Caenorhabditis elegans: one gene and its partners. The protein of the gene in region 3 purifies or fractionates together with the protein of the main gene of each other region. This does not show direct contact. Each region holds a gene or a part of one and is shown on either strand. Other genes may lie near its edges.

Region 1 (10,457 bases), on a different chromosome or scaffold from region 3:
AGGAAAAAGCTTTAGTCCAAAAAATGTTTAATTCATTTTCGAAAATTTTGTATATAAATCACAAAAATGTTGGACCTCCTGTTTTTGAGAAAAACGCGCCCAAACGTCCAGATATACGGTAGACAAATTGCGTACATGTACCATTTCTTGGGCCGTGGGCATCGGTTATGTTTTGAAGTCTAAAAATGACCTTAAGTATTTTCCTCGTAAGTATTTCAGTTTATTATTAAACTTCCTCAAACTTCCGAATAAAACCTATGTCATTTGGAAGTGGTCTGCACTTTTATCAATCCCGTTATTTTTTCAAAAAACATGATATTATGTACACTGGAAAACATACTAATGAGTGGAAGAAGATTGGCATCAAGTGATATATCAGTCAGAAAGGACAAGCTGCGTCTCCACTGAGCCTATTGTTACTCGTCTGTTGCTATAACTACGCCACCTTTTCGAAATTATGACAAGATGATCAGTTTCAATGTTGTGCTTGAATATCATGATTTAGCTCTTTTGTAAATTTTTTTTACTGGAAAACTGAATTTTTGCAGAATAATGGAAAAGTCAAATGAATCCGATTTCTTGGCAGCTGGAATTGACCAAGACTCGCAAAATCCAGAACCTGGGCTAAAACAAGAGGCCGTTGAAGCTTCAAATCTATTGGACAAAACACCACAACTCGAGCAGAAGCTTCCGACCCCTGCAGAACGCTTGCTCGCCAGCAAGATTGCCCTTCGTGGCTGCATGCTTTTGGAGTATGCAAAGGGAAACGATGTCTTTGAAGCTTACGAAGCCTTGTCCGAAGTACTTGGAGAGGAGTTTATGAACATCAGAGAGTTCGACTACTTCTTTCATAAGCTTGGAAAGGGGGAATTGGAGCTGGACAGTGGAGAGAAGTTGGTTAATTTTTTGAATATCTCTCTTAATATTGATGCTGCAGGTTTGATCCGAATGCTCTTCAGCTCTCGACCATGCCGGTTGAGATTGTACGGAAGATTTTGATGGAAATTGAGCCGATTGAACGGTGAGCAGCGCACTTTGAGCCCTATGATCTATCCTGCTGAAATTGCGCGTTTAAATTGTAGCAGGCCTACGAACAAGAATTTTCGGCAACAAAATTCTGAACCAAGCTTCAAAAACACGCCAAAACTTGCCCGAATTCTAGATTCCCCTTCCGCCGTGTCTGCAGCGTGTTCCGCAACGCCATCGACTCCCTGGACTGGAACTTCAAGACGATCACTCTTTCCGCGGGATACTTCAACACCATCCTAACGTTATCCCCCACTCATTCAATGATCTACACCTTTCTGAATCGTACAGACTCTATAGTTGGTCTTTATGAAAACGGGCGTCTCGTGGAAAATGGCGGAGCAATGGAAAAATCAAATAACCTGAGCTTGGCCATCATGACGCTGTCGAGTATTCTCAAAAGCCCATTTTTCACACTTGACACTCTGGTTATCACCGAGACTCAGCAAGCCTGGGGTGTACTTTTCGCGGGCTCCGAGAGCATTCCTATCGAGCTGGCAAAAGTGAGTCCATTGTTGGTCACCAGCCTGCAATTCATCGACATTCGCTGTGAGGAAATAGTTTCGATAGTACGATTAACAAAATCTGGTACTCTGAAAGAAGTCTCAATTAGGTTCACCAAACCATATCAGTTCGTACTTCGATCTCGTCCGGATACAGTCCCACTTCAGAATATTGTGGAATTGGAGCAATGGAAACATCTGGAAAAGTTTGATGTGATAGGCGATATCTTTATGAACATCCCTATTGATAGCTTCTTGCACTTGACAAGCTGCATCGTCAGGTTGGTTATACTGACAACAGAGGAGTTGATCAAAATTCGAGATGTAAGCTTAGAACAATCATATTCCAACTACACATATATTTAACAGATTCTCATGGAATCTAGCACATTTGAAGTTGCAGTTCTCAACTTTATGCATTATAATTTAATTGAGATCGGCCAGTTTTTCAATCCAGCCTTTGATATTTCAATTGCACCCCGACCGATTCAATTTGGGGGTTTTCATATTGAGATCATCGCTGTTGGTTCAGACTGTACCGTGGTTATCTATAAACGACGAGAAGATATGAATTGATCTAGGATTTTTTACACTTCTCTCGATTTTTTTCCTTTTTCTCATTAAAAAAACAATTAAGTGTATTTGCTATCAAAGAGTGTTTATTATTAGATGTTCAAAAATTACACCTTTCAATTTTCCTCAATGAAAATAAAATTCTTTGAAAAATATGTTCACGAAGGCCTTATGATTCGATGCATCCTGATTTAAAAAGTTTCTTCAAACATTATGAATTGCGAATCTGGGATTTGATGTAAGCCAACTCATAATTAGAGCTGGGCTGACAGAACTTGAACTTGTGATCGCTAAATGAGCGTAGGCTTTGAATACGTGGAGAGGAGCTTCAATCGCAAATAAGCTAGCAATTTTTGAGCATAATTATTAATAGATTATTTCATAAATTTCATTTGCTTGGTTTTCCATGTTTATGTCCAGGGAAGCTGTAAGTATCGCATTTTAACGCGAGTCATGTGACATATGACTCAATGTGGCGACGAATCGACGACTCACCAATACTTTTTTCTTATTTGTAATACCTCAACAGTCACTCTCAGGTGTGAAAAAACACATTCAATTACAATTTTCTGATATGTAAATTCTTGAGTAGGTTTTTGATTGACCGATTACAAAAAATACGTTTAGAAAGAAATAATGAAAAGTTATACATGTGTATGCATAATTCCTTCTCCATTTTCAATATTTATCCAATTTCAGAAAATTTTCGGCAAGTTTGTCGGCTTTTATATATACTTAAACAAGCGATATAAACTGAATTTTCTAGAATTCAATAGTGCTATACAGCATGTAATTAAAAAAAAACCATTAATGTACATTGGTGCACTTTTAATTGCTATATAGCAGTTTGTTATCGAAGAAATTCTCGCAAAATTTGATAAGGAAAAATTACAAACGTGTGATTGTCACGAGGTATCTCTGCTGAACAAAATGGACAATTTATTTCGAAGACTGTCCCAGTTATTGTTTCGGTTTGAACGGAAAACGTGAGTATTGGCTTGAAATGTGGGAACGTCACATTTTCCTGGGGAAAAATTCCCGCATTTTTTCTAGATCAAATCGCAATGAGACACTCCAACACCACGTGAATAAAGTAAAAAATATATGGAGAAAATTAAAAGAGGCAAACGCGCTCCAATGAGAATTTATTTAGGCACGCATCTAAAACAACTCATAGGGACGCAAATGAAAATCGCGATTTCAAGCGCAAATAGAAAATCAGAGAATTTTTTTAAAAGTTTCTTAATAGATAGCCCCAAAAACCCAGAAAATTTTCAGTCGCGCCCTCGCTCACTCCAAAATTTTAACCTCTACCCTAAAACGCCTGCAAAACTCTACGAGAATCGGAATCCGAATCACAGTTTCAATATGCACAATCCGTTTGACTATCTACACCAGGAGTACCCCTTCCAGGGTCACGATAGTCTATCAAGAGGATGGTTGGATTGTTTCTGACAACAAAAAAGAGTTGATCGATAACTTTGACTACTTTTTTGTCTTCATGAGGCATTTACACTCGATATTTGCATCAAAAATCCCGGTTTCTTATATATCAATACAGTTTATTTGTGATCTGAGAGCAAGGCTGATATCGGAAACGACTGACGAGCACACTGAAATGTTGTTTCTAAAAGAATTGAGTGAAATGATGGAATCCCGAAACCAAAATGTGAAACTGAAAAGGTTCTCGGTGCATTTCCACGGGGTCACCTTAAACAACTCGATTGAGCCGATTCTACAACACGTGGAGGCAAAAGTTCTAGTGTTGAAAGCAAATTGTGATGAGGACATGAAGTACGATTTCAACAAAATTGTTGAAACAAACATTTGGAAATCGGCCAGAGTAGTGGATATCGATTCGTTGTACCTCAGTCACGCTCACAAGTTTTCCTGTCAACCTGTAGAGGAGATCTCACATTTTTCAAGTGTTTCGTGTATTTTCTACTCGATAAACTTTGATGACATGGTTTTCCTGAAAGAGGTCAGTTTATTTTTAGTTCTTAATCAACTTCTGTCTAAAAAGTACAAATTACAGCATTTCCTCGAATCTCCGAACGCACGTGAATTCCTCATTAGCTATCGGAAATTCGATGAGCAACCAATGATCAGTGACATTTACGAGATGGGATTAGACACAATTTTTGGAAAGCCCGTCAATGTGGAGTACAAAGAAGAAGACAAAATTTACAAGTTTAGAGTGATGGATACGGAGCATGATATTTCAATACAGTTGTTTTTACGGAGATCTGGAAATTCGTCGATCATCTTTACGCGAGAACCACCATCGGTGAAGCAGATCTATGAGTGAGATTTCGGGCGTTTTCTGGAATGACGCCAAAATGAGGCTCCAACCAATATCAACCGCCGACATCTCACGAGTTCCGCGCCACGCCCTTAGCGTTTTACCTTCATGGCGTGGTGCGCTGCCATGTTAAACATGTGGGGACACGAAACTCGTGAAATGTCGGCGGCTGATATTGGTTCCCGACTTTGGCTGATTGAAAAAAAAACAAAAAAGGTCTCCGTGTACCTCAGTTATATCTCATAATGTTTGCCCTCTGAAAACTGCGAAAAACTTACAGTGCGTATATTTTCCACTTCTACGACATTAAAGGGGGCGCATTAACGCGCGATGGTCTCGACATGCGCGGCGATTTAATTAAAACTTTTGATGTGTGTGCCTTTAAAAATACTGTATTATGCCTTTGAATTAAAAAAACACATATTCAGTACAAAAAACATTTATTATGCAAAATAATTAGATATTAAACAAATAAAATGCAGAAAGTTGGGAAAGAAACAATTAAAACGGGAAATTGGAAGAAAATGAGAAAAATCGATGAAGATTTCCGAGCAAAATTAATACAGTAATATTAAAGGCGGACACATCAAAAATTTTTAATAAAATTGCCGCGCGTGTCGAGACCATGCGCCTCCCTTTAAAGTCGTAGAAGTTTTGTATGACGACGTTTGCAACTGAGGACATGGTTCATAATACATTAATAATACATTGAATTAGAATAGTTACTGCCCGCACTGTGGTTCGAACAATTTGGATGCTTTAATGGTAGATCTTACGCCGTTTCTGCCATCATCTAAATAACTTCATAATCATAAGTTCCTTTTCAGCCAAACTGTGCACAATTATCACTCACACACGATTGATCTACTAGAAAGAAATGGCCAGGAGACTAATGCCTTACTGGTAATTCGGAATGACTCAATTCTAATTTATTTTACGTATACTGACAAGAATACCGCGGAAAAAAAAGTGGAAAACTTCGAGTACAAGAGTCTAGAAACTGGATGCTCGGCAGTTGTCTCTGAAAGAAGAACTTCATTGACTGTGAATCTAGATCATATGTCTCTTTTTCTGACACATTTGAAGTACCTACTGGATAATTTGACGACTTTTGAATCTTTTTCATTTGGATTTAATGAAGAATCCTGCGATGCAGAGTTTATGAACCGCCTCAACAAAACTATCCCATCAAATTCTCTAAAAGCCGATGGCTGCTGTATATCTTTCAACCGTCACCCTCTGATCACTGATTACATCACCTCAGTGCTCTCGTACTTCCAACCAGGAACCCTTGAAAATATAGCGATCCACACAGCACCTCACACAATTGCTATGGAACTGGAAGATATTGCGGGCTTAGAGCAATGGAAACGAGCAATTTCGGTAGCAATGTGTAACACTACCCTAAAGTTGTCAAGTAAGAGTTGGGAGAATTTCAAGCACTTTTCGTGTGCCACAATTATATCCGAACCGATTTCTTTTGAGGATCTTTCATTTCTGAAAGAGGTGTGTAATAATTGCACAACTGGCAAATATGTAAAATTTCAGCACTTCCTGACTTCAAATACCCCGCGGCAGATTAAGCTTCAATATCTCCGTTCCTCAGAGGACAATATCAACGTTGCTCAAAAACTTCTAGAGCTATTCGGTCCTCCAGCTCACGAAAGCTATGAGAGTGCAAAGCAATGTGATCGAACATGGTGCATAGCAATTTCAAATCAAGATAATTGTTTTCTGGTCAAGCACAAATTCTGTCGTCCTCGGGAGTATGGCACATTCGTGTTCTCAAGAAAATTGGCGGCTGAGATGGAATGGATCAAGTAAGATTTTGATTACCGTATGTTCTTTATTTTTATGGCACCCACACCGTCACCCGTTCCTCAGACCGCCCGCTTTTCCAAGAAAGCAATAATTTCAAGGCCGATGCGCAAAAAAAAACGAACATGGACTGGAACACTCTGTTCGCGATTCTTGCCATACCAATAGGAAACATATTGTAATGGAACAAATTGCATTCTCTTCCAGCTCATCCCCCAGTCGTTCTCAAATACTCTCGGCATTCATCAAGTGCCTTGCAACTTACAAAAACCACTCCCTAGAAGTTCACACTGCAGAGGACCAGGTCCGGATCATGTTCAGCTACTCCTCAGAACTGACTAGCTATCGGAAGAACATCGTGTACAAAAATCACCGTGAAGGGTGTCTGCTCGAGTTTGACGTTCACAAGATAGTAATCGACGAGGATTATGTGACAGTTTCTTGTGAGGACTTGAATATGGTGCTGGAGACGGTGGAGAGTATTGACACTTTGCTAATAGAGTCTGAAGAGATATCCCCGTCAAGATCAGACGATGACCCCAATAACTCGAATGAAACAGTTTTCGGATGCTGCTTAACAAAATTAGTGGAAAATCTTAAGCAGCGAAAGCAAATGCTTCATGTCAGAAACTTCAGGCTAAACTTGAATATGCAATCCCCAAGTGACCAGGTCTACTCTATATTGGAACTACTTTCTCCGGAGGTCGTCGAATTGAAAACTTCCATAGAAGACACAAAATTGGAGTTGTCAGAAATAAATTTCACAAAAACGAAGGAGCTCAAAGCAGAATCATTTTTGTTATCCATCCCCATCAAACTATTGAGCAAATTTTCAAAAGTAGCAGTGACATTACAAGATTTTTCAGTCGAGGATCTGGTTTATTTAAAAGAGGTACTCTTATCTAGATTTTATCTAAGGTCTCACAGCTATTATGTATTTCAGCACCTCCTTGGATCCCCAACGCCGTTCAAGTTTACTATCAACGACAATCGTTCGAAAGAGGAGCATGTTAATGCAAAGAACCTACTTGAAGAATTTGGAACACCTGATCGCATTCAAGATGATCTTATGGAATGGCGTATTCGGATTCCTGGTCCCAAATTTGATCTACTTATTGAATACCGCCCGTGTGTCCCGATGGGTCAATCATTCAGTTTTGAGCGTGTGGTGGAAAGGGTTGAGGTTGGTTGTAAAAGAATGAGCATTAAGTGTTAGTTGGCACTAGGTACGAAATAGATCACAAGTTCAAGGAGAGAAATCCACGAGTTTATAGATGCATCCGCAGTAGTACTACAAGAGCTCGGCAGTAGTACCACAAAATAGAATATCTGATTTCTGAATCAGGGATGCGCGGCTGGTACGGCCAACCGACAAATTTGGGCAAAATTGCAACAATTTCTTCAAAATAATCGAATTTCAAAAACATTTTTACCAGCGCTACCAGCGCGCATTTCTGTTCTGGATCCAAAGTGCATATCTAATTTCAGATATTTTCAGGAACATCAACGTCACGAATTTACCAACCAACCCATTGAATTACCACTGTAAGTATCACATTTCTATAAGTTTCCTTCTGCTCAACAAAATGCAACCAGGTATTTTCAAATTTTCAGCTCATACACTACCCATTCACTGATTCTACCATCAACTTTGAACACCACGAAAGCCTTCAAACTTGCTGAAGTCCGCTTATCTTTATATAGCACCAGTATAACAGTCGGTCTTTACTGTACTCTCCAAGGTCAACGATCTTCACGGATCCATGAGTATCAACACCACCCGAACGGTTGTCGGCTGCAATGTGATCATCAAAGGGAAATGGTTCGGAATCGGGATTTCGTTTCGCTGGCGGTTTCCCATTTAAAAACGATTCTTGAGGGCCAAAACGTCATTTTAGAATTTTCAGTCCATCTATGCGATGACTCTGAGTATATTGATAAAAGGTGTCTTGAAGATCTTGTTGAGATGCTCCGCTCACGACGTCGGCAACTCAAAGTTCGGAACTTCAAGATTAGTTTCTTTGAGCAACCATACATCAAAATCGCAGCATCTCTATTGTCATACTTCGATCATTTCTCATTGGTTAGAATAACACTCAACACGCCATTGCACGGTACAGTAATCGAAACAGAGGACTGTGACCTACTTGTGAGCCTGGATCAATGGCACTGTGCCAGTGAGCTCCTCATTTCGTCGTTTGTATTTTCAACTGCATTGGAAAATTTCGAGAATTTTTCACTTGCAAGTGTTACGGTGCCAACGATTTCTTTTGAGCAATTGGCTTTGTTGAAGGAGAATCTTACGTATTCAACTACTAAGTTCTGTCTGGTTATCAACTTTCACGGTTATGAAGATGAAGATTCAAATGATGTGGAAGCACGGCGACCACAAGAAATTTTCGGAGAACCAAACGTGGAATACGGAAGTGAGGAGTTTGGGCATAAAAACTGGCATCTTCCTATGGATGACAGAGAATATAGATTGGCGATCAGATATCAGCATTGTGGAGCCGAAGGGATTCCTGCGTATGTTTTTACAAGAGTGAGTTACTGAATGGCTGTTTAATGACTGACTGATCGTGTCTCCGAAGCCTAAGCCTAGGCCTAAGTCATAGCCTAATAGTTAGCCTAATTTTTTGGTGAAACTCCCAAAGTGTCGGCCGCTAGACTTCCAAAACAAAGAAAAGCAAGCACACTGACTTAAAATTTTCCAGGAAAAACAGGAAGACGCCCCTCCATTTGACATGCTGCGGCTCGTCACCTGCTTCCCGATGGTCATGAAGAATATTGTCGACAATTGCGCTTTTGTCTCAGTGTGCGTTAACAATTACTGGGAATAATTTCCAAAATTGTTTTTTTTTCAGCGAAGTCCTCCGCAAAGTTTGCAAAGACCTCCGCTACTTCGTTGATCGGAGCCGGAGCAAGTCAAAATTCCAAACAAATGATATTGCCGTGAGCTTGAATTCTGACGATCTCAAGCTTCGAATCCGCCAGTCAAACGCGCATACACTGTTTGTCTACTACAAGCAACCAATAGGATGTCGGCTTGATATCATCGAGTTAACTCCGGACGGGGCCACACGGAACTACCGGGAGCATCATTTGACAGATGACACCCCGTTGAACTACTTGATGCGAGATCTTCAGTTTGTGTTGAAGGATCAGAAGAATTGCCTGAGAAGTTTTCACTATTGGGTTGCGGGCGAACATGAAGAAGCGCAAGAAAAACTAAAGCGAGTTCTGATTCGGAGCTCCAAGCTTCAAGTGAAATGTTTAATCTTAGCCGGAAGGACTGAGTCGGAAATTTTAGAGCTTCTCGAGTGTTTCGACGCCGGAAAGTTGAAGCTTCTGAGACTAGATTTTGCAAAAATCACTGAAGAGGATGAAGGAACACTAGAGATCGCCCGAATAGCGGAGACGGGTCACTGGAGAACTGCAGAGGAGTTCGTGGTGGCTGAGTGCGTGCTTAACACGGATCCCTTGAACTTTAATCAATTGTTCGGAAATTTCAAGAGCCAAAAAGTTTGCCTGCAAAACTTCACAGTGGACAACTTGCTTTTTATGAAGCAGGTGGGACGTTTATCTTTGACAATTTAACAATTTATTATTTTTCCAGAAATCCCTTTCCACTTCCATAAAACTATTCTTCATTTGCGAAAATTTCGATATGGAGAACTTGTACGAGCTTATTGGACGGCCTCTGCTTGTTACCGAGGATGCGGTCAAAGTTCGGAAGTGGTTCTTCAAGTTAATAGGCACATTAGAGCACGTTTTGCTATTGAGAATTAACACGGAAAACGGGAAGATTCATGTTCAGATGTTTCGTATCCCAGTTTCATATGTTCCCCAAAACGCAACCATTCGTGACGATTGAGATTAAATCAGTTTAAATGAATATATTGCAATTAAAAGATATATTCTTCGTCTATTCTATTAGGGGGCAGATAGCTCAGTCGGTAGTGGTGGCCGCTAGCAATCTGGAGGTCACGAGTTCAAGTCCGGCCTCACCCCACTAGGTTCACCCAGCCTCTATTGGGAAGTGGAGCAATCCACGACTGGATTATCGACCGCAGTCCCCGGCTAGGACGTGGCTTAAATGGGATCACCACCAGGCAGTGTACCTGAATCCCAGATCCGCAGTGCATAGCACTTGAAGAACGGATCGTCCTTTAATCCTTTTAATTTTTTAAATTCTTCGTCAATTATAATTGGAAAAATGTTCAAAAAAATTTAAA
Region 2 (7,649 bases), on a different chromosome or scaffold from region 3:
AGAAGAATGATGATCAAATGTGCAACTTACTCGATGGCAGAAAGAATTGAATGTATTTGACCGTGCTCTTTGATCCTTGATATTCATATGTTTCATTATTGTCGTAATGAATTCTATAACCAAACTGATATGTCAAAGGCAAGTCGTCTTTATCATCATTCCAACCATCACCAACAGAAAATGTAACTGGAGTTTCAAGAGCAAACGGTGGATAAAACGGTACAGATATCTGAAAAAAAAAAACAACAATTGACTAGAAACAGCGATTCTCTTTTTTCACATCAATATTTCCTTTGGTTGGTGGCGCATTCGTAGACAAGTGCAAATCCGAAAACGAAGATCCTTTTTCATTAGACGCCCAAAGCCGGATCACAAAGGTTTTACCACTCATCAATCCTGGCCACATGGCAAGTCTAAAAATCTGATAGTGTGATATTTCCTTTAGTACTCTTACTGTGTTCCTGCAGGTGGAATTGTGAATGATACAAATACGTCAGATTTTGATGGAACATTTTTTATAATTGTAGTAGGGTTAGATATAAACGATGAAATATTGAAATAACCAAACTGAGGATCTCGAACAACTTCCCATGTGATATTCAAGGTTGGCAATGACGAACTTACTAATGCTTGGATTCTAAAAAAAAGACTAGTATAAACTTTCAATAATATTTCTACCTGATATAATCAAAAGCATTTTGTTTTTTCTCTGCGAGTCTATAAAATGTAACTGTTGGAATTTGAGTTGCTGCAATTGTGACGATACATGAAGAGCTGTCAGATTGTTCCTCAGATGAAACGGTTGCTGTCACATTCATAATAGTATTTTCGATTAATTTGTTAGTAGGGATCTTCAAAAAATCCTGAAACGTGTCAATCGCTCCAAGATTGCAGCTTTGCGTGTCATTTTTTTCTGAAAAATATAATTAAATAAAAGTTTAAGTAAATGAAAGTTACCATCAATGAGTTCACAGGTCCATTGGTATTTAAGACTAGAGTCCTTTCGATTTTGATCTACCGCCAATACTCGTATTGTGAGGTCGTGATCTTTCCCAATCTGACGTTCAGCACAATCCAAATTTACTAGAAGTGGTAAGCCAAAATACTGAAAATTAGACACAAACATTTTACTACAAAAGAAAACGTATAAGAGTGGGAAAGTTTGAAATGAAAACTGAACTTTTGTTATGGGCTCATTCACGTTTTAATGTCGAAATACAATTTATGGTGTAATAAACTGTATTACAGTGATTTTCGTGAAGAACCTTATTTTTGCCTTTCAATAAATGTCATGCAACTTTTTTTTAGCAACAGTAGTTGCAAGTTTAACAACATACATGTATGGTCTTTGTTGAACTTGAAGAGTACGGTTTTTCGTAACTGTATCTTGCTATCAGTGTAACATTAACCAGCTCATTCACAGAATATGAATAAGCCGGTAGTTTGAGCCCGTCATCATACATTTTGCCTTCCCCATTCAATTTCCACTCGTACTGAAAAAAATAATGTCATTTTTTAAAGCTTATGTATTGAAACACCTGAACATCTTTTGGGGACGTTTTGGAGCTGCATTGCTTAAAAGTAGGGTTTGCACGGAGACGAAGACCGAATGAAGCAGGGGTTTCTTGTTCAACGCCTAGAATAATTTGAGTTTACTCAACATTTTAAAAAGTATCAAGTACCATCAATAGAAACTGAAAACACTGATGCATCATCAACAAGTGCGGTATAGATTGGTCCACTTGAAGTGCATTTTTCCGCTACATTACACCCGGTGACCAGTATCACATTGTTTGTTGATAGCTTCAAAAATAAAATAAATCAAGTTTTATTTTTATATCTTACATGATGACTGGGGATTTCCAGAAGTCTTTCTGTTGCGGCTTTTGCAATGGTTTCCATATCCAAGGTACCTTAATTTATGAAGTTGATTGATATTACATTATAAAAAAATCCAACCATTCAAAATAGTCCACTGAAAACTCAAAGGCATGAAGCCGTTCCCTGAAATCTGTTTTACTTCGAACGTTGTTGAATTAGAACATGTAGCCACTTCTTTTTCATGGGAAACTGTAAAGTTTGGATACACCTGCAACTGTGCGCCTTTCAATTTTATTTGCCCTTCAATGAGAATTTACCGCATTTTTTGGACTTTTGAGAAATGCTGATCGAGGTGAGAATTTTGTTTTCACTTCTTGTAGTATGCCGATCTTTGGATTGGCACCAAATTTAATGGCGACATTTGCCCCATCTCCCAGACAAATAGGGTTTTCTGAATAATATGTACTTTATGAATGATTTGGTGGAAAAACTAGTTACCTCCGAGAATGGAAGAGTTTTCCATCAAAACCTCACAATTCATAATGCCCATTGGAAATTCAATTGAATCATTAACCTTTTGAATGTTTATACCAAGTAAATCATCAGACAACTCGGCAGTAAAATCTTCAACTTTATCAATGTGAATTTCCAAATTGCTGTATTAAAAAATAGTTATAATTTTTAATATAAGTTAGTTGTACCTGTTGTTGACATTTGGGCAGAATCTAACCAACAATGTTGGGATAGGCAACACGAGGCATTCCTAAATTGAAGAATTAAAAAATATATTTGATCTTTGTCAATCTCACACTAGAGCAAGGTGATGAAGAAAAATAGGACATTCCTCGTATACTTGCCCTACTGGTATCATCCCAAACAAACGGAATAATTGAAATCCCACTTTTTGAACAGTTTATGGAAGCGGAGCCATTAACAGAAAAAAAGAAATTGTAGTTGGGTGGTACTACCAAAAACTGAAAATGCCACTGTTAGAAAGAATTGAGGTATTAAAAGACGATTTAAAATTATTTTTTATAAATGTAGTTTAATAATTCAACCGATCAATGTTGTTACTGGAACTTTCTACTATAATAAATCCGCAAATTTGATGGGGATCTAAACTCATCATTGATAATAGTCCTAAGATTCTAAATTCAATTTATCCAGGATATTTGATACAACACGCTCTTGTATATTTCTGCTTTATCATATGACGCATCAACTTGGCTTTAAAAAGTTATCTAAATATTGGGCTCTGAAAAAGTAATCACTATTCCAATGGAAATAATTTTACTAAACTATTATCGTTTCTTCATTGTTGTTGTGTAAAACAGCACAAAAATGTGTTTACTATAAGTATTGTGACCGATGGATTAGCATCGACACGTGCATAATTGATTTGAACTATTATAATGTTTATTCTATTGTTGATGTTTTTACTATAACAATAAGCATGTACTTTACCTAAAAAACCTAACATGTATAAACCTGTGGCAGATATAACATGTGTTTCACATTTTTCCATATAACATAACTTTTTAATTATAACGTTCCTGGCACTGTTGTATTGATTCCCTGCATTTTCAAAAATTTTCAATTTTTTGTTTATTATTACATTCAAATTAAACGTGATATATTTAGGTTTTGTAATGTTATTTTCAAAGCCTGAAAATTCAAAAATTATCCTTACGTTTTCATTCAAAAATTTACTTCTAAAAGTGCCGGTCTCTGATACACCAGTAAGGTTTTTTTTAATGTCAAAGTCGAATATATTGGTTGCTCCCCCGACTATCAAGTGTAAGGCACTTAAATACAGAATCAATTTTCTCACTACCAATACACCTTCAATTTCACACCCTTTGCATAATCGAAATAAAAGACAAGAGCAGTTGGTCTTTCACAAGGTCTTTGACGCATTTTGAACATACACACACGGCGACACGAAACGCGCCATTACATTACAACCATATGGTTCCTATTCCCATCTTTCAATACGTTTTTTTTTCGTTTTTTGTTCTCATATATTTTATATGGTTCTATGTGGTAACAAGAAGACCATTCGGAGACACCTTCAAAATGAAGATGAATGAGACATGACCAATACTTACCCGTTTTGCGTCATCAGCATAATTTTGAATGTCGACGCAATGAACTGTCGCATTAGGAAACGGATTGTCATATCCATCTGGATCGTCTATTTCAATTGGATGCTCACTTGTCTCATCAGGAGCTATTTTCCATTGAACGTCAGTGCGTGTGCCTGCGTTGACCACCTGAATGCAAATTGAATTGCGTGTTCGTCAATTATTCAGAATTTTCGAAAAGGAAGCTAACCAATGCGGCAAGTGTCCAACTATGATTGAATGCCAAATGACTTAGAAGCTCACTGAGCACAACACGAGTTGATGTTGTTCCTGCGTTGTCTTTTAGAGTTGGCACATTATCGCTGGTTAGTTGAACAGTGTCCACAAATTCAAAATAAGCTTTTTCAAACCGAATACAGCTTGTTCCAGATGAATAGCATTGATTGAGAATCTTACATTCGCAGAATCCAAGAATTAGGAACAGTAATAACAAATACTTCAATAGGCGCTCTTCTATCATTCAGAAAAATTACATGGCAACCGAAGCCAAAAAAGAAAGCTCGAAAAGTATTAGTGCACGAGGCAAAAAAGTTTTACGTATTCTGATTGAAAAAACGCGCAGCTTTATTTTGTCTCTATGGAAACCCGTTATTTTCAATTTAAGGCTTCGTTTCCTTCTTCTTGTTATTTCATTGTCCATGTGAGATTTCTCATGATCATTTTTCTTTCGTTATTTGTTTATTTATATTGTTTTGGAACATTAATGTAATATTTTTATATTTATAAATTTGAATACATAAAATATGTGAGCATCTCAAATTGTTACAGAAGATGTTATTGGAAAGAAAAAGGTAAACGGATAAAACAAGAAAAAGTACAAATTTCAAGAGGCAAGTTTTGAAACAAAAAACTCTAGCAGATAAGTGCCATCAGAAACCAGAGAAACCGCGTGAGAGTGTTGAGGGATTTTGGAAATTAGGTGGAAATTTCTAGAATAGGATAATATGAGCACATTATAGTAACAAGGGAGTATAGTATAAATTGAGTCAAAGATACATGCATCCCTACCCCTAAGTGGGTCTACAAAAGATTATATTCAAATATTTGGCACCATGGAGTCAGATCAGTTTATATTATCAAATTATCACGAGTAGAACAGAGAGTAATGACCTTTACGAAAGGAAGGCGGGGGGGGGGAGGGTTTGAAAAAAATGGGAGTGGGAAAAAAACAAATTGAAAGGTATGGCAGATTGGAATGAAGTCTGAGAACAGAATCATAAAAATGATTTGAAAGGTGATTGAGTGATAGAAGATTTTGAACAAATGACAGTAGAGATTACGCGTAAAATTCTTTTGTCGATGCTTTGGTATAACCATACGAGGCATATGGTCTTGCTTGCTTGGGTTCATCCAATGCGTATGACCCTTCATCTTTTTTCCTGATTCGAAAGACTACAAAGAGCACGAGTAGAATGGCTGTAATCACCGCAACGAGAACACCTCCGGCAATAGCTGAAAATATCAAATTAAATCAAATTAAAATAGATAATTCTACAACTTTAAATCTTTTCGTTACTAAAAAATAAATAAGCTTTGTGCTTTATTCCAAACATATTTTTATGATCTCAACCCGTAAGGACAACATATAATATCAGTAATGCGATGCATGTAAGAAATATTGCATTGTCCTAAATTGAACTTTCTTGGTAGTGAATAATTTCAATAAGAGTTTAATTTTGTAACTAAGTGAAAAAAAATTTTAGTTTTCCTTTCCAACTCACTAAATCCTTTCAAAACCGTCATCTTCTCTCAAAACCTTTCATTCAAAAGGTTCCCCTTTTCCTCACAGACACTTCCTCCACTCAGTGTCATAAAATCAAATATGCACAAAATGCGACCCTTGACCTTGCCTTCCTTCTTTCTTCAGCGGCTTCCGTCCCACCATCCCGAACCTCAGGCCCTTTTTCTCAAGAGAATAGAGCTGGGGCTCCTTTGTTAGATGTGGGATGCTGCTCAGATTTTGATAACCACAAAAGAAGAAAGCATAGCAAGTTTTGAGAAGAGATGTCAACTTTACTGAACAATTCGTCTTTCCCCACATTTTGAGACACGCGTCATAAGGGGTCTATGTTTTCTTTAAAAACCCATTTCAAGGCATCTGTACTTCCTCACAAAAGGCAGTAAACACAAAAAAGTTTGTTCAAAGCAAGTGTTGTGGAAAGAAAAAAACTAAACATCTCTTCCTACATTTTTGCGCCAAAATAGAAAACTTGAGAAGTGTCTCGTTCAGTGGCACTCATATATAATTTGGACCCATCTTGATCCTCATCATCATCATCATCTCTCCGTTTTCAATAATATAATTTCTGGCGTGTCATTCACCAATACTTGTTGGTTTCTTTCAATAAGAAAGAAGAGCTCTCATCGTCTTCCCACCAGGAATAATTAGACACATGGGGGAAAGAAGAGTATGTGTGGTGGTGCATCATTCATACGAAGGGGTCCCCATTCTGTGACACAAGCACAAGAAGACGAAGAAGAGGCCACGCCATCTGTCATTAAGAAACAGCTCGACAACAAACTAGCACATCCTCGAGCTGTACACATTGATTGATAGACTGGTCGCGAAAAATGGACGGGATGAGTGTCCGGAATGCAAAAAGTATGCATACTTTTATGCAAGTCTCATATTTTTGTGTATATTTGCCCATCCGGAACAGACGGAACGGATAGGCTTGAGGCAGCATATTCCCCCGGAATACAGTGGCCGAATATATTGAATGCAACCGTGTTGCCTTCGATTGACGAGAAGACATCAATTTATCATCTCGCAACAAATCATTCGCCGACGCCATCACACTGACCGGGCGATTTATGTACATTTGCATCTGCTCCCACTAATGATAGTTACACTCCGGACGATCAAAGGTCCCAATGCAAAATTAATTGAAATGAGTTTTGCTTCACACATACCTGCATAGAAGCCATTTGCCAGTGTCTCATGGAATGGCGAGAATGGTCCAGATGAGATGGTTGATGTGACCATTGGTGGCTGCTGTCGAGGTGGATTTGTGGCTGCTGACCTTGGCGTTCTGGAAAATTGAAAATTAAATTGGCTGCTAGATGTTTTCGGGGATTTGTTGATTGACAAGATAATTAATACATTTCTAGATGCATAAATCCTGGGCCCTGGAGGGCATTAGAATAGTTTTGTTTTTTGTTCAAATGAAAAACATACGAGGTGGTAGCTACAACAATAGGTCGATACGTTGTTGTAGTAGTAGTTGTGAAGAAATCTTCATCATTATGAATATTCTCATCAGCAAAATCTTCTTCATCATCCTCATCATCTTCATCCTCATCTTCATCATCGTCCTCGTCCTCCTCGACCTTGATCTCCTTGTCGTTTGCCGCTGGCTTAGGCTTGGGCTGAACAGGAGGCTTGAAGCTCTGAAGAATGAAAGATTGCGGTAAAACACATCAAAAGAAAAAGCCGACACAAACCGCTGTAGTAGTAGGTACCGTTGTCGGCTTTGCAGTCACAACAGCATGGCTTGGAGATGTAACCTTGTCCGATTTTGTGGTAGCTGAAGATGGCGGCTTGCCTAAAAAAGGTTTTCAAATTTGTCTGTCACAGATTGAAAACTGCAAGCGGCGCACACAATTAAATTTGCATCTGGACTAACGCTTTTCTAACAGGATTTCTCACAGTTGTCAAGAACAATTCAAAATACCCACCTGACC
Region 3 (6,533 bases):
TTGGTCTCCGGACAATGGGGGGTACCCCATCGCCAATTGTTTGTTACAAAAGATCAATGTATAGTCGAATACAAATCGATAATGGATTGTGTTAGGGTAAGAAATTTTTTCAAAACTTTCCAAAGCGCCCGACATTTAGCGGGTTCCGTCTCTCACCATAGAACTACAAGTTACTTTGCAAACCCGGTAAATGTCCGGGGCTTCTAAACAAAGGAATTGAACTCATTTTTAATGTGGTGCTTTTCAGACCTATAATGTGTACAGCTATGTCGATGATAGTCCGCTGCTTCGAAAATCAGAAAACCTTGATCTAATCGATGACTCAATGTCCTGGATTGTTCTGGATTTCTATTGTGCAATAGTTCCAGAATTCGTCAAGCATATTTGTCCAATCAACGTTGGATTCTAGAAACCTATATTGGGAAGCTGTGGCCATGTCTTGGAGATAACGTTTTCCATATGATGGTCCAATCTTGTCTTGAAGAACTGCAATACTTTGATGCGGTTGAATGTGTGGTAAATCCTGCCGAATATCCATGTTTGATTGAGAAAATGAAGAGTCAACCGACTTGTAAAAACAGTGATGTAAATCTATTCAAACGTTTTATATTTGCATTGCGCACCGGTTGTATGATGGGGGTATCAAGCGAAAATTGAATTCGAAAACTATGGAATTGATATGAGAGCATTACATCCCCTTTCAGACAGTTAAATGAAAACTAGAATTATTTCATTTAAATAAATGTTTTCCTGTCAATGATTTGTTTTTTAAGTATGTTTAAACATTGTGTGAAATGAAAACATGCTCAATAAAAGAAGAACGTTACCATATTTTACTTTAAAACATTCCGGAATGATGATTCGTGGTAAATGGAACATAATATGGCTGATCAGGGGTGTGCGGCAAATCTCGAATTCGGTAAATTTGCCGCACAAAAAAAAAGAAAAAAAATGAGAACAATTGCCAACCGTTTCAAGTTGTTGTTAAATATTTACGTTTAAAAATAAAAACCAATTCTCTGAAATTTGCATCAGTTGAGAACATTTCTGACAAGGTGTGTGTGTGTATTTAGAAAATTTGAATTCCTCGTCAATTTTTGATGTCACCACAAATTTAGTGTGTGGGATCAGGACTACAGACTATGAAGTTCAAAAATTAAAAAAATCAATGAAATTAACATTCCGTGTGAACACTTGACTGAAAAAATGCTCAGACTTTTAATTTGACACTTGGAACAACCAAAATTGTTCTGAACGAATAATTGTTCGACTGAAAGAATTCGTTTTCCAGGAAAAATGAGTCAGATATAAAATACATCGTGATATCATATCAACTCAATTGTTCGCCAGCCTTATATAACAACTCTCTGAAACAGGAGAAATATTATTTAGAACTCATGATTTTCTACGCTCTTCTCCTGTTGCCACTGGTCACCGGCAATGGGGTACCCCTCCACCAATTGTCACTCTCGAGCAATGTCAAGTGGAATACAAATCGATAATGGATTTCTGGATTCTTAAATTGCAATAGTTCCAGAATTTATCAGTCAGTTTTGTTCAATCAACGTTGGATTCTAGACACATATCTTGGAAAGTTGGAACCATGTCTGTTGCATCAATTGACAATTGAGCTCGACAATTATGAAATTGATTCAAATTCCTTTTAATCTGAATACTTTTTACAATAAATGTATACACTGTTTCATGTTGAACATAAAGCCCAATGTATTAGCATTTTTTGTTGGGTTGTTTGCATTTGATTTCAATTTTAGAAACACATTTTCAAAATTTTAACAGCAAAACAAACGTGTTGAAAATAAAATTTTTAGCAGTCAGCAGACACTTTAGCATTCCCCCCCCCCCCCCCCTAATTTCTACGCTCAGAACCTGTACACTGCCGCAAGCGCTTTTCCTCTCTTTCTTCTCAAATTATCTTGTCTCGCCATATGTCGGTCGCTTCACCCCGCTTTAAACAGCGCGTTCGTGGTGTAATGGTCAGCATGGATGCCTTCCAAGCATTCGACGGGGGTTCGATTCCCCCCGAACGCATTTACTTTTTTATTTTCTTTTAATAGAAAGAATAATGAAGTGTTGCTCAAAATCATTTATTAAAACCCAAAAACATCAAAATCACTGTTTCAAATTATCCAAATCTTTTGGATTGAACTTCTTATCAAAAGTATGGATGAACTCCAAGTTTCCTGAATGAACTGCCTCCAAAATTGGTACAAATATATCCACAAGTTCAACTGAAGCCATCATTCCCTTGTAAAACTCTGCTTTCTCCGACTCTTCACATTCTTGATGTTTAGCGAAGCAACTTGTGACTGGTTTCGCGTATTGAAGCACTGTTTTGAAGGTAAAGCCTTGAAGTTGATCCATTGGAACTTCAGAAAGCACACAAGCAGTGTAGAAACGGACCATATCATTCTGGAATTTGAGAAGGGTTTTTTTGCAAAACAATTCTAGTTTGCTTGCCGACACTTTGCGGGTTCCGCCGTTCATCTTAAAATTGGAGACCCGCGAGGTGTCGGATGCTAAGAAACATCAATTAATATAACCTACCTGATTCACACATCCGAATCCTTCTCCGTAGATCTTCTCCCCAGCATATATCACCAATTCACTTGCGTATTTTGTCAACTTCTGCTTGCTGCACACTGGTTCTCCTGCACACTTCAATGCCTTACGGATATCTGCGACTGACTCAAGTACTTCGGATTTTGATGGGAATTTGGTAACATCTTGGAACATTTCGAGACGGGATTTCTGGAAATATAATTTGCAAAATTTTTTTCAGAAAAAAAAATTGAAAAAAAATCTGTTTCAACATGCCCAGAAGTACTTGAACAATTAATTTTCAGCTAGTCCATTTTGATTTTGGCATAAACCCATTGTTTTGTAATTGGTTCCACGATTTCTTATCGTCCCGAACATTTTCAGTAAAAGTTAACAATCACATTGACCCCAACATTCATCCCATCCCCTCTGGTGTTCCCCAGGGAAGTGTATCTGGGCCTTTCCTTTTTCTCATTTTCATAAATTCTCTACTGTTGAGCCTGCCCCCAACCATCTCCTGCTCTGCATTTGCAGATGATCTCAAGGTTTACTCACATTCCCCTCCCCTCATTCAAACAACAATTGATCTCATTACAGCCTGGTCTGAAAATAATAAGCTCCCACTTGCCCACTCAAAGACCTGTCTTCTTCATCTCGGTAAAAAAAACCCTAAAACTGTTTACAAAATCAATAATTTGCCTATATCCCCATCAAATATAGCCCGTGATTTGGGAATCCTTACTGATTCTAAACTTACCTTCAAAACCCACATTAAGAAGATCGTTTCTCTAGCCCTTTTACGTTGCAAGCAATTATTGAAATCATTTAAATCCTTATGTCCTGAATTCTATTGTAATTTATTCAAGACCTGCATTCTCCCCCTCATCGAATACGGTTCTGCCGTATATTCCCCCAAACCCTCTTCTTCCCTATCAACTCTTCTTGAAAAACCACTCCGATGGTACTCTCAAAAAGTACTGCAAAAATATATCCTACTCTTCATATATATAATATTTATTGATTTTTTTTCTTCTCAATAAATGAACATATATATATATATAGTCCGCTAGCCACTAGCCGCCCCCAATATTTTTCAACTAATAAATATCTCACCTCATTAATATCCTTAAAACAAGCGTTGAATCTTCTCGTCTCGGCATTACAAGCTGGTGTACTATCTTCGGCTTGGAAAATTTGGTCGATCCTGTCAATGGCAGTGGTCATAGAAGACATGGGAGCAGCAACGGCGTACGCCAGAAGAGCTGAGAACACCAAAGACTTGAACATTTTTTTGAAATGTGCATTTTACAAGGCTTTTATAGTAGTCAAATGTTGATAAAAGTATATGAATCAATTGAAAACATTATACGAAAGTTTTCGAACGAAAATTGGATTTTGGCAGGAATCAATCAAAAATCGTTTTTTAGTTGATTCATGGAAAATAATCTGAATCAGAAATATAGACAGCTTCAAGATTTTTTTTCGTAGACTTTGCCTGAAGACAGTAAGTTGTTGAAAATAAATATAAAAGCTCAAAAAATGAATTTAAATGATTGGAATAAATTTGTTGCTTTCTGCTTTTTTTGTGTTTCAAAAAAATATTTTTTAAAAACATAAAAACCGAAGATAATTTGCAAAAGACCAAAAAGCGTGTGGGCACGAAAACAAAAAAGTGAATAACGAAAAACGTGAGTTTAAAAACAAATTCCACCACACTTTATTAAACCAGATTTCGAACATCATTCATTTCTCGCAAAAGCGAATTACAAACGATGTTCAATTGTTCCATATCACTGATAATTCTCTTTGCCGTATTGTCCACGGTGGCTGGTGATCGAGGAATTTGTGCCCAAGAAAAGTTGGATTTGGAAAGTTGTGCGCAGCCTCACAAGGTAAGATAGAGCGGCCGACATTGATACTGGTCACTGTCGAGGACAACTCGTAGCTTGTCAGCTGCTAGATTACTCCAACGAATTCTGTTTTCCAGGAATACATCCACTCGCTGTCCGATGTAACTGGCCGTGAGATCCATAATCCGAAGTTTATGAAGAAGTTCGTGGAATTCACCAAAACGGCCTCCTCGTGTATTGGTTCAAATGTCACGTGTGATGCTTCACGTCATTATCGATTTTTCCTGGATTCTCTGACTAATATGGGAAACATTTTGTATCAAGAAAGTAATTTAGATTGTCTCAAGAATGTGAGTTCGCGAGATTGTTTTTGAAAATTTGTTTTAAAACTTTTTTGAAACAGTGAAAAAAAAATTATTTTCGAAATTTGAAATGTTATTTCCAGATTGCTCCAACTTTCCGTTTCTGCTACAGACAAGCACGGATGACATATAATACATTGGTGGATGTTAGCAGAATTGTCAGAAAAATGACAAAATTCACTGATTGTCTTCGAAAGGAGTTAGTAGCCAGGAACGTTTGTACTCGAGATTCTGTGAAGAATATCAACGTGGCAGTGAAGATAATCCGGAATCTTGTTCGTCAATATGAGAAATGGACAAATGGGGAGATGGTTCCGATGGTTTTTAATATTGAAAAATTCAAGGATGATTGATGTGGATTTAGTGATTTGAAATTGATGAATGAAATTTTTTTTTGTGTGATTTTTTACCAGTTTTAGCTTTGCATGGATTCGAAGACTACTGGTGTCAAAAATTATATTTCTATATGAGCAATGTGAAACAGGCTACATAAAAAATGCCTTCAAACTGTGAAATGAAACTCGAAACGCAGCAATTAAAAAAGAACACTACTGCATCCAGTTACACATTAGATAATTCTGAACCAATCAGCGGTAAGCTGGAGGCGTGGCCAACTCCGGGGATTGGTCGGTACAAGTAAATGCTGACCAATCACCAATTTTGGCCACGCCTTTTGCACATAACTGATTGGTCACAGGTTTTTTTGTCGCCCAATTTTTTGTATGATGTTCAAGTTTTTTTTTTAAACTTGCTGGATTTTATCATCACAGGGGACTTTATGTGAGGATGAAATTTCCCTTCGCAAGACATTTTAGGAAGTTTCAACGTTTTTTACAGCGCCCGACATTCTCCGGGTTTAGCTAGTGACCATACAACTCTGTGACAGAATTTGGTGAGCCCACAAAGTGTCGGGCGCTGCGAACATCAAAAACAAAATTTTTTTTGACTAGATTAGTGATAGAAATTAAATAACGTGTGAATCTGAAACATCGCCTGAAATTCTCTGTGACGTAGTGGATCTTTGCCGTTTGATACAGCGATCCCTCTTCCAATACGCACACATCCACCGTCAAGTCTCATATTATCTCATCATCACATTAGTGTGCCTATATGTACATCCGGCACTCAAAAACTCATGATTTTTCGATTTGTATATATGAGAAGTCGTTGAACCATTTATCATCATTTTTGTGGTTTTCTGACTGATATATTTAACCAGGAACAAAAATTTTTCGCCGATATCTTCAGCCTGATCTGAGAGCAGAAATGCCTGCCACATGTCGTAAGTTATTTTTATTATTTTTGAAGCACATTTGTCTGACTTGATTAAATTTTTGCACAAATGCAACAGATTTAAACACTTTGTGAAACAGACTTTTAAAAAAATAATAAAATTTTTTGTTCATTTCAGATAAAATTTAAGAATTTCCAGCTTTCAAAGGAAATCCTCCGTCAGGACCCCAATCTCCCGCAGTTCAATCTCCACTTTTCGGTCGGTTTCAAAAAAAAATTTCAAACTTTTCAATATTCATACTTTTTTCTTCAGTTTCAGACTTGAATAACCCGGATGCCAAAATTAAAATGCGCCAGGAGATGGATAGAATTACAGAACGGCAGAAGCATATATTCACAGAAACATTTCCAGTTATTTTTAAAGAGTATAAGAGGAACGGGCTGGTTTTGTTTGCCAAGTGAGTTGATTTGAGAAAAATAAAAAATAATTTTAAAAAATAATTGAAAACTCTGTTTCAATAAGTCTAGA

What was found.
Region 1: the proteins of Y57G11B.5 (region 3) and R10E8.6 fractionate together in Caenorhabditis elegans (co-fractionation; one large-scale study listed by BioGRID). This does not show direct contact.
Region 2: the proteins of Y57G11B.5 (region 3) and F57C7.4 fractionate together in Caenorhabditis elegans (co-fractionation; one large-scale study listed by BioGRID). This does not show direct contact.

What each region holds. Positions count from the first base shown.
Region 1 is NC_003283.11:18,258,940-18,269,396, reverse strand, and holds R10E8.6 (DUF38 domain-containing protein), read left to right. Parts: upstream 1-3,005; 5' UTR 3,006-3,032; coding exon 3,033-3,088; intron 3,089-3,380; coding exon 3,381-4,083; intron 4,084-4,137; coding exon 4,138-4,406; intron 4,407-5,231; coding exon 5,232-5,910; intron 5,911-5,952; coding exon 5,953-6,224; intron 6,225-6,429; coding exon 6,430-7,114; intron 7,115-7,165; coding exon 7,166-7,405; intron 7,406-7,720; coding exon 7,721-7,767; intron 7,768-7,836; coding exon 7,837-8,764; intron 8,765-8,936; coding exon 8,937-9,037; intron 9,038-9,086; coding exon 9,087-9,792; intron 9,793-9,838; coding exon 9,839-10,096; 3' UTR 10,097-10,137; downstream 10,138-10,457. Other genes in the region: fbxa-213 (F-box domain-containing protein), read left to right, coding at 553-893, 938-1,021, 1,163-1,853, 1,899-2,105.
Region 2 is NC_003284.9:10,585,114-10,592,762, forward strand, and holds the start of F57C7.4 (PKD/REJ-like domain-containing protein), read right to left. Parts: upstream 4,453-7,649; 5' UTR 4,426-4,452; coding exon 4,156-4,425; intron 4,095-4,155; coding exon 3,930-4,094; intron 2,796-3,929; coding exon 2,631-2,795; intron 2,585-2,630; coding exon 2,523-2,584; intron 2,478-2,522; coding exon 2,320-2,477; intron 2,273-2,319; coding exon 2,139-2,272; intron 2,090-2,138; coding exon 1,960-2,089; intron 1,914-1,959; coding exon 1,846-1,913; intron 1,804-1,845; coding exon 1,683-1,803; intron 1,637-1,682; coding exon 1,539-1,636; intron 1,494-1,538; coding exon 1,338-1,493; intron 1,106-1,337; coding exon 958-1,105; intron 914-957; coding exon 679-913; intron 638-678; coding exon 455-637; intron 414-454; coding exon 281-413; intron 230-280; coding exon 31-229; intron 1-30. Other genes in the region: sdn-1 (putative syndecan), read right to left, coding at 5,242-5,417, 6,879-6,997, 7,144-7,355, 7,410-7,510, 7,644-7,649.
Region 3 is NC_003282.8:14,572,138-14,578,670, reverse strand, and holds Y57G11B.5 (DUF19 domain-containing protein), read right to left. Parts: upstream 3,853-6,533; 5' UTR 3,847-3,852; coding exon 3,673-3,846; intron 3,597-3,672; coding exon of another isoform or gene 2,850-3,596; intron 2,770-2,849; coding exon 2,566-2,769; intron 2,431-2,565; coding exon 2,131-2,430; 3' UTR 2,091-2,130; downstream 1-2,090. Other genes in the region: Y57G11B.8 (CPXV012 protein), read left to right, coding at 1-96, 248-409; Y57G11B.3 (F-box domain-containing protein), read left to right, coding at 4,332-4,451, 4,547-4,759, 4,855-5,124; glb-34 (Globin domain-containing protein), read left to right, coding at 6,038-6,053, 6,204-6,263, 6,318-6,462.